Linked DNA regions of Caenorhabditis elegans. The protein of the gene in region 2 purifies or fractionates together with the protein of the main gene of each other region. This does not show direct contact. Each region holds a gene or a part of one and is shown on either strand. Other genes may lie near its edges.

The links.
Region 1: the proteins of F08D12.7 (region 2) and F59A3.8 fractionate together in Caenorhabditis elegans (co-fractionation; one large-scale study listed by BioGRID). This does not show direct contact.

Annotation. Positions count from the first base shown.
Region 1 is NC_003279.8:5,521,698-5,527,345, forward strand, and holds F59A3.8 (Tyrosine-protein kinase), read right to left. Parts: upstream 3,644-5,648; 5' UTR 3,577-3,643; coding exon 3,426-3,576; intron 3,006-3,425; coding exon 2,821-3,005; intron 2,644-2,820; coding exon 2,268-2,643; intron 2,175-2,267; coding exon 2,023-2,174; intron 1,973-2,022; coding exon 1,645-1,972; intron 1,431-1,644; coding exon 1,264-1,430; intron 1,218-1,263; coding exon 999-1,217; intron 940-998; coding exon 826-939; intron 780-825; coding exon 738-779; 3' UTR 695-737; downstream 1-694. Other genes in the region: cpd-1 (Peptidase M14 domain-containing protein), read left to right, coding at 1-51, 102-196, 239-371, 4,146-4,225, 4,275-4,445, 4,626-4,929, 5,028-5,092, 5,140-5,251 and 1 more.
Region 2 is NC_003280.10:2,766,729-2,771,367, forward strand, and holds F08D12.7 (T20D4.11-like domain-containing protein), read right to left. Parts: upstream 2,394-4,639; 5' UTR 2,390-2,393; coding exon 2,186-2,389; intron 2,130-2,185; coding exon 1,956-2,129; intron 1,898-1,955; coding exon 1,580-1,897; intron 857-1,579; coding exon 542-856; 3' UTR 522-541; downstream 1-521. Other genes in the region: F08D12.15 (F-box associated domain-containing protein), read left to right, coding at 1-502; fbxb-105 (F-box domain-containing protein), read right to left, coding at 3,066-3,984, 4,081-4,160; sdz-10 (F-box domain-containing protein), read right to left, coding at 4,446-4,639.

The DNA.
Region 1 (5,648 bases), on a different chromosome or scaffold from region 2:
AATCCAGATGGATATGAAAAAGGATTTCCAGGAGACAGAATTTCTGCGATGGTATTCTATTTTTGTTGAGTTTTTGTCGGTTTATTCTATTGTATTTTCAGGGTCGTGCTAACGCGAACGATGTGGATTTAAATCGAAATTTCCCAACGAAATTCGAAAGTCATCGAGAAACATCAGGTGGTTCTGAACCGGAAAAGTAAGTTTACACTGAAGTTTTCAACTCCGTACATCTTTTCAGGGAAAATATAGCTGTGATGAAATGGCTTCAAGCATATCCGTTTGTATTAAGTACCAATTTACACGGCGGAAGTTTAGTTGCAAACTATCCATATGATGATTCAGTAACTGGCCAAGATGGTATTTATACTGCTGTGAGTTTTGATTCGTTTGAAGGATGATGTCTGATTGTGTGAGTACTGTAACCTATCTATGCCCGGTCGAGGTGTCCGGTCTTAACCAGGATTTTTTCAAAAACCCAAAAAAAAAAAAAAATTTTCGAAATTTTTCTGCGACATAATTGGGATTTTTTTGGTTCAAAAAACCAAAAATGTTGTAAGGATCCCTTGAACCAGAATTTTTCAAAAATGGTAGCCTTTAAATGAACCCTTAATTATTACCTATATGTGGTAAAAATTTCAATTCAAATATTATTTTTTTGTCCCATCCCTGATCTTTGCTTGTTCTTCTCAACCTCTATCAAGACAACACATTCATTTATAAACCGAATCGAAAATAAGCTACTTCACAGTCTTCTCCGCAGTTTCCACGCACTGCACTATCTGAAATTCATTTTTTATTGCTATTACTTGAATTTTAAATGTTTACCGAAGTCATCGAGCATCGGTTTTCCGGATCCGCTACAAAAACCTTCTCAGCCACTAGTCGTCGAAGTGCTTCCGGTGCCGAACTCGACAGTTTCAGGAACTCTCGTTTCTTGACCTAAAGTACAACTTTTTTGTTTTTTTTCCGGGTTTAAGAAGGAGCTTATGCTCAAGTACCTGAGCTCGAATAGTCTGTGCATTTTTCCCATCGTGAGGCTGTTGTCCGTTCTCGTAGATCTCCCAGATCACACATCCAAATGAGAAAACATCAGTTTTTGGAGTGAAGATGAAGAGTTCTAGAGTCTCCGGTGCCAAGTATCTCACAGGAATCTTGCAATGCTCTTTCATTTCATATCTATCCGTTAATTCAGCCAAACCAAAATCGGACACTTTTGGCTGAAAAATAATTTGATAAAGTCAAATTTTAACCGCGATGTCATACAGTTTTATCTTCAGTGAGAAGAATATTGCGAACTGCCAAATCTCGATGTAGAATCCGTTGAGAATGAAGATATGCAACACCACGAGCTGAACCTAGTACGAAGTTAATCTTGTCGGCAAGAGTGATCGTTTTGTGATTTTCTTTGAGATATTCACGTAGAGCTCCGTCTGAAATTGTATTTTTGAATTCCGAAAGTGTGCATGGGGATTATAAAATACTCGAAAGTGGCCAAAATGCAAAAATATTTAGATGGCTGGAATTATGCTAGGTTAAAAAGATTCTCAAATATTGCGATTTAAAAAGATCTCATATCCCTTTTGCGAGATTCATGAATTTTGGACAGTTTCAAGTACTCCGAACCCATAGCAGGTACTAACTCACTCGAACACAACTCAATCATCAAATACAATGGTTCGCGTAAAACTGCAACTCCATAAGATCTCAAAACATTCGGATGATCCAATTTCCGCATGATTCTCGTCTCGTGAAGCAATTCTTCAACTTGATCACGTGTCACTGAATCCGCTGAACTTTTAAGCATCTTCACAGCCACCTCCACCAACTTTTTCTTCGGATCTTTCGTGGTTAACCGACCGACTCGAACTTCTCCAAATGCACCTTCTCCAAGTTTTTTCGCCAAAAGTTCCGTGTCCTCATGTTGAAACTCCCATTTTGAGAGGCTGATTGGGTTCAAGAGTTGGAATTCTCCCTGTGTATTGTACATTGATTCAAATGATAGTTCACGTCATGCCAACTTACATTTTTATGAACTGCTGAAGTTCCTTGATAGTGGGAGAAAAGGTCTTTAAGTTTCACAAGCCAATGGACAGAGTCAATTGAAAACTTTCCATTGTTTGTCTTGATAACCAAGTTTCGATTATTGGACTTTGCTGGAGACAGAGCTTTTCCTTCTGAAATTATAGCAAAAAATACAAGATTTTTAAAACTCAAAACAAATCTAGATTGGCTTCGCCCATATCTTGACTGTTGACATCAAAACTCACTGCAAAGAACTGAGATCACAAAGACTTTCTGCATTGTACTCTTGTGACCCTTCGTCCTCTCAACACTTTTTGCCAAGTTCTGCGCTTTGTTCTTCTTGTCTTGATCATTTGATGGTGGAACCGACAATCGAACCAACCAGTCACCAGGATGCTTCAGAATCTGTGCAGCATCTTCTCGACATATGTATCCATGGAAATTCGGCATTTTTGTGATGTAATCTTCCATAGCTTTCAGATCAGCTTTCAGCGTTGGTTTGCTACTTTTCCAAGACGCCCCATATGTCGATGCAGATTCTTTGGTTGTTTCCTTTCCTGCGTCAGTTTGTGGAGGGGATGACAATGACTCTTTGTCGTGAGCTTCAGCGGAAGGTTTCTTCTGAAAAAAAAACAACAATTTAAATTGATTTGGGGATAAAACAATCTAGTTTTTCAGTTGCTAGTTAGTTGTTCCAGATTTCATATTTTACTAGCTAAACACGGCCATCACATGGCAAATATCTTGCAACTCTTTCAATTACGTAGGAAAAACTTTGAAAATAAGAATTTGACTTGCCTTGTCGCTATTCACATGTTTCCCACTTGGGTCTCGATTCGGCACTTTTGGTTTCTTTCGAGGATGGCTTCCTCCTGGCGGAATTCTTGGGTTAGATGGAGACTTCTTCAGATTGGGCTTGTTTCCAGCCGGTTTTTGATCTCGCGACTCCTCTGGCGGCTCCACAGATCGTTTCGGGAGTTTTCCTGCATGATATACTTTGTTTTGTTTTGGTACTAAATTTGATATAAGCTTTCAAAATATCACAGCCTCTAGAAGAGGTAATTATATTCAACCGAGGGGTGACGGGCATATTAAATTGCCCACTCAGCGCCCTTATGTGCAATTCGTTCTGCTTTTCCATATACGAAAAGATGTTCATGCAACTCCCTCAAGCAGTTTACATTTCTAACACGTAATGGTATTCTTAATATTCACGTGAATAATTGCAATGTTGTCACACGTTTAAATATATTCCAGTTCCGTGTATCTGTTTTTGACAGTTTCACCCAACAGGTGGGGCCTCCGTTCTCATCTTAATTTTACATCCTACTTTTTCAGAGCCGTTGAGGTGTAGGGTTAGTCTGGGTGTTTCCTGATGATTTAAAAAAGAAAATTTAGTATACCTGGAATAGTCGGTAACTTCTTTTCCGGTGGCGCAGTGGTCTGTTCCTTCTTATTCGTCGTCTTCTCCTGCTCCTTCAACGAAGAATCGGCGTCATCTTGTGTGTGCATCTCGCGGCTCTCGTGCCATGGAGTCGTTCCCTTTCTAGCCATTTGCTTGAATAGATTTTTGAAGAATGATTATCTCAAGCCAGACACGTAGAACTTTTTAATTAGAAATAATTGGTTTTTGGTGAATTTGCACAGAGTTGAAAAGATAATTGTATAATTATCGCGTGGTGATTCGAGTTCACGGTAAATTTGATTAAAATAACACTGATTTTTCAATACTGTGTTTGAATTTTCTCTAAATTGAGTAGTCGTGCCCACTTTTGAATCAAGTCTCAGTTTGGAGGAAATTCAAACAGGGAACCTAGTCAAACTTTTTTCAAAAGTGGAATTTGTTATTCTTTATCGACTTTTCCGATTTTCTTTTGCAGTTTTCTTCTTAATTTGTAAAACAATATCAAACATGCCCTAATGATCTGGAAAAAAAAAATTTCTCTTTACAGTAGCTTACTGAGATAAGGGATCCGCTCTGTTTTTATTATTTTAACTTGACCAAGCTCTTATCTTTCTGTTTTTAGTATATGAAAGAAAACGTTAAATTACGAGAAATGGTCTTGTGAGGGCGCATACTGCTCTTGTGATTTATGAGAACAATTCAATCGAAAAATTTTTAGAGTGCGGATGACAAGCTTTTCGTAGAGCTCAGCTATCGATACGCCAGGGCTCATACCAAAATGTGGAAAACTGGAAGAAGGTTATAGAGCCCAAGATTTTTGTCAAAAACTATAAAATTCATGTTTAAGATGTGGATTATCAGCTGATGGTGACAATTTTATAAATGGAATCACAAATGGAGCCGGATGGTATCATTTGGCGGGGGGAATGCAGGACTGGCAATACGAGCACACGAATTGTTTGGAAATTACTATAGAGATGGGTTGCTTCAAGTTTCCAACTGATGATATGATGCCAAAGTGAGGTTTTCAGGAATTCTTACCGTAGAGTGTTTAATTTTTCCACAAAATATCCAGGTTTTTCTGCGAACAGTAATTCGACAGTAATCCTAGACTGTAAATCAGAGTTATCAACTTTTTGGCGTATCTTTACATCAAAAACTCAAAACTATGATTGTTAGTGTATATTTTCCATTTCAGATTATGGGAAGAACACCAATTCTCTTTACTCTCATTTCTGGAGATGGGATTAAGTGGAGTAACTGGTCTTGTCACTGACAGAAATAATAATACAGTTGCCAACGCCACAATATCTGTTGATACTGGAAAAGATATTATATCAACTGAAGCTGGAGAATACTGGAGACTTTTGCCACCTGGCGATCATCAAATTACTGTATCAGCACGTGGACTCGAATCTGACACGTTTACAGTCACGATTGTTCCAGGAGCACGAGCTGCTCGGCATGATATTACTTTGCTGGCTTGTGGCGATAATGAAACGGTCAGTTAATGAGATATTTCTGCTAATATGGAATTGGAATTCACATACATATTTTTAAAGATAAAGTGTATTATTCCAAATGGAAACAATTTTTTCAGAAATCAGAAATGTATATTCGTGGAAGAGGAAAGAATTTGATTGCAGTACTCTCATTTGATGATATGTGAGTTTTCTTTGATTGAAAATCTTGTAATGTTTCATCAATATTAGCGGAGGAAAAGCTGTCGACGAACTGGCTCGTCTCACTTGTACAGGAGATTTTGTAATCGATAAGGACGTATCATTGATGCTCATTCCAAATATGACTGGTGAATTGAAAGGAGTTAGTTTTTTTCTTTTTCCCATGTGTGGATTACTTTTAACAAGCTTTTTAAACAACTTTTTAAAAAAGTTAAAATTGATATGTGCTTATACAGTCAAGTTCTGCGCTTTCAGATAATTTTTAAAGGATTTCTATGAATTGTTATATTTTTCAGCGACTCACTGACTTCGACCCGGCAGCAGTATTGATAATCAGTAAGGGAATCGTTGAAACAGCAACATTCAGTGTGTCTGAAAATGAGCCAAAACTATTCGACAAAGCGAAAATGGATGAATCTCTTCTAAAAGCTCTGGGCAATTCAATCCAATGTGAACGGACATTATTGGAATCAAAGACAGCAATGAGAGTTGATGATCTTCAATTGAAGAAAGCTTTTGAATTGGGAATATCAATTGGT
Region 2 (4,639 bases):
TTCAGTAACCGTCCCAAAGACTATGCTGGAGAATTGCATCAACAATGATCAACACAAGAAAATCACCTATTTTTCTCTATTCCCAGAAAGACATCTAATGCCAAATCATAAAATTCACTGTCTCAATTTGGGTTCAGTTTCATATGAGCTTCCTGGTCGCGGAAAAAATTTACAGCTGGACGATGTACTCCTCATGAACTGCTCCAAACTATGCCTATTCCCTTGTAAATTGTCTTCCCAGGAATTAAACATTTTCATTAGGCTATATATAGCTCAACCTAATCGACAGCTGGAAACAGTCGAGCTTCATCGAACTAATGAAGGAATCTGGAAGGTGGAGGATTCGATGAAAGGGATTTCTTATTCAATCTGGAATAAAAACCCCGGCAATAACCATAAACTTGAAAAACGCATCAAGTTCACCCAAAATGACGAAACAATGATGCATTTGGACTGGAAATTGGATAGTATACGTTGTTCTACTGTGATTACTATTGAATGAGACTTTTTTCAATACTTTTGACTATAAACCTTTTATTCATCAACACCCAAAATGTTTCTTAATTGTCTCGGCGGTTTTCTCATAATTCTCAACAGCCTTCTTCCCACACGAAGCTTCCATAACAGTCCTCGTGCATTCTTTCAGCTTTGTGTGCCGCTCACATGTTTCTTCTTTTTTCGAGCCCGCAATGTTATGGTCCCCGATGCAGGGGAACTTTTTTGCGGTCGGCTTGTCGAGCATCATCTTCCGTTTGCAGATGAAAAACTCGGTGCTGTAGAGCTCAAACCAGTCCTTTTTGCTCTGGAAGATCAGGCGTTCCAGGTCGTTGTAGGAGCATGATTTTGAGATGCATTTCTGGAATGAGAACGGATTTTGGAAAATTTGAAAATTTAGCTGATAGCTTATAGTTTACGTATATCAGGGATTAGCGGCATTTTCAATTTCAGCAATATGCCGATTTGCCGGAAATTTTCAATATTTTGCCAATTTGCCGATTTGCCGGAAATTTTATAATCCAGCAAGTTGCCGATTTGCCGATTTGCAGGAAATGTTCAATTCCGACCATTTACAGGTTTGCCGACTTGCCAGAAAATTGTATTTTCGACAAATTGTCAGCTTGTCAATTTGCCGATTTGCCGATTAGCCCAATTTTTAATTCCGGCAATTTGCCGATTTGCCGGAAATTTCAATTCCGGCAGTTTGTCGGTTTGCCAGAAATTTTCATTTTCGGCAATTTGCTGGTTTTGCGATTTGCCGGAAAGTTTCAATTCCAGCAAACTGCCGATTTGCCGACTTGCCGAAAATTCGAGCAATTTGCCGATTTGCCGGAAATCTTCAATTCCAACGATTTTCCGGGTTGCCAGAAATGTTCAATTTAAGCAATTTGCCGTTTTGCCGGAAATTTTCAATAATTTGCCAATTTGTCGATTTGCCGGAAATTTCAATTGCGCCAATTTGCCCACTTCCCGAAATTTTTCCGTTTTTTCCGGCAAATTCGGCAAATTATCAAGTTGCGGAATTTGCCGATTTTCCGGAAATTTTCAATGGTGTATACCACAATCAACGCTAAAATCTTGCCTCTGCATCCTCAAAAAGCTGCAGAAACTCCACCAAATTCGTGTCATTCGACTGTACGTCTACCCAGTTGATCTCCCGCTCCTTCGCCACAATACCACTTTCCAGAGCTTCACACTGAAGTTTATTGAACGCATGGTGCAGTCTATTGCAGTTGTCCTGAAAGCCTCCCGGCACAGTTGTGAGCACATTAATCAGGTTGTCATAGTTGAAGTTGGAGCTCAGGATGGCTACAGTCTCCTCGGAGCATTCCTTGCCAATGACCTGGAAGAAGCAGAACCGGCCTGATGTGTAGGATACGCGGCGAGCTGGGAGGTCGTCCTGGAATTATTTTAATTTTTTTTGAGTGCACATTTGAAATAAAAAGCTCCAGACTCACAGTCAAATAATCCCGTTCTCCTGTGCAATTGTACTTCTCATTATACACTGCTAAATAGAACTTTGTCATGCAAGGCTGCACATTTCCGGTCATCAACTCGAGCCCATCACAGGCATCCCTCATACTTTCATAGGTATGGGCTCCTTTTTTACACGTCGCTGCTTTAAAACACGTCTGGAATATATGAGAAATTATTGAAATTTCTGGAAAATCCGATATCTAAGCCTAACCTTAATATCTGTACACAAATCATTCATCTTTTTCAGAGTCTCGGCTTTGGGCTTCACGTGCTCATGCTTGCTGATAATCGGCCCAAGCTCTGCGACCATCAGGAGACACTTGTCCGAGTCGCACGGCTCAGTGGAGTTTTGAGAGCTCACCGGGCTCAGGGTGTACAGAAGTGTTAAGTAAAATGTTAAAGTTGGTTTTAGCATGGCTGGAATATAAATTCGATTAAAAATTCGGAAACACAAATCAAAATGTATTTTTATATCAAAACGAAATGTCTATCTATCTGTTTCTGATTTCTCTGTCTTCAAACATCACAACAAATTGACGACAGGTGGCGCATCCTCCGAGAAGATCTTTAAGCAGTGGGGGATGAGAGGGAGAGCAAAAAACATGTGACACATGTTCCCTGGGTGAAATTTGCCTAAACACTTTATAATTTAAACAAAAATAGAGATTTTTAAAGAGTTTTCCGGTAGTTTAAATTTAGTTGAGTAAAGCTAAAACTCTTAAAACGTTCAAAAGTGATAGGTCACATTTAAAAGAAAAATATTAATATTTATTATCACATTTTTTAATTGAACCTGAGTCATCTGTTTTTCAATAGTTTTAACATTTATTAGTGTATTCGATGCAAGTAGAAAAGCTTGGGCTTAGGCCTAGGCCTAGGCTTAGGCTTAGGCTTAGGGGGAAAAAGAGAGGAAAAAGTTACATAAAATTTAGAAGTTAGAAAAAAAAAACAAAAAAAATGAGGAAACAAAAAATCATGAATAATAGCCCGAACAAAAGAAGTGGCAAAAAAGTTTTGCAGGGTTGGAGAGTTGTAGAAAATTGTAGAAAATAAAAAGGTATTACACAGACCAACACAGTTATACAATAAAGTCAATAAACTCGCATTACAATTTTCTCAACTCCTTCAAATAAGTACGTCTGCATCGCCAACCTTCTTCCACAATTTTGGTATACATAGATAGTATCACCAAGTTGGTAGTCGTTTTCGTTTCGAGCCACAATTTTTAGCTCCGCCGAGTACACCGAGTGAGAAATTCCTTTCAACAAAATTTGCATGTTCCTGGTCGCTTCAGCACAAACAATGCCGACAATTTTGAGCCTCCGATTCGATCCACTAATCAAGTGCCTGATGAAAATGTTCAACTCTTCGAAAGACAGATGATGAGCGGAAATATTTAGTTGGGAGACGTTGGTGATCAATAAATCATTTAACGTGAGAGCTTCTCTAGTATCATCTTTGGAAAATGAAACACGTTCGAAGTGTCGAGTAAGTACTTTATGCTTTTGCATGGACGGTTCAATGTTGAATGATAAATTAAAGGATATATCATTGCTTTGGACATTGGCGACTACACTCTGGACAACAGTATCCGAGCAAAAACTAAAAAAAATTGTCTCAGTTTTTAGTTCCTTCACTGCATTGCTCAAACTTATATAGTGCTCTTCATGACCTATTCTGGAAATGTAAATTTCGTGAATCCTCGAGCAATTGAATATTTCCATAACATGATCGATCCAATCCCGAAGTTTGAATCCTCTTTTCACCCATACTCTGTCAGACTCGGGCTCCAACGGTGTCAAAGTTTCTGTGGCGGTTACTGATTCGCAACTCTCAAAATTCCATCGACCATAGTCTTTCTTGAAGAAAACCAACGAAGTTACTTCTTGATTGTGTGACAAAATATTAATATCAATTGATAAAAATGCTTTGATACTAATTTGTTGAATATCATTCTTCAGGTGCATTACATGAGACTTTGTTGCTTTCGAGCATAATGAGAATGCTATTCTGAAATTATATAATTTTTGCAGGAATGAATTTAGAATTGTCTATAGACTGGCAAGACTGCTCCAAATTTAAGAAACCTTCCTCCCAAAAACTCACAAATTGCACGTTGACATATTTTGAAGAACGTCTCGAATATTCTTGTTGGGGAGACAAAGGACTGGGAAACTAGTGGCCATGACTGCAGGAGACACAATTGAGCACAAATAAAGAAAAGGAACATTGAACAGATGTTATTTTTGATCGATAATCAGATGGTGGCTCTGACTCTTGGGAAGGAAAACGGTCAACTCAATCAATACTTGCTATTTAAAAAAACCATGATGAATCGGTGTAAGGAATATTTGTTGTTGTAAATATTCAAGACTGCCATAAATTAAATCTTTATTGATTCAAACAAGTTGGAGAAAACAGCAAATGCTTATTCATAATTTAAAAAATAGTTATGCCAATAGATTATCATTTCAACCGCAACGAGCATCAATTTTCAAAACATATTTACGGTCATCATGTACGATATAAGTCATGAAAAGGTTTGACGAATCGATCCGTGGAATTCTAAACATTTTAGCTCCTCGTGGCACTCCATTCTCCACCCTACACGGGATTTTATGATCAATGTCTTTCAACAAGATCTTCATATTCCACTGGGTTTGGA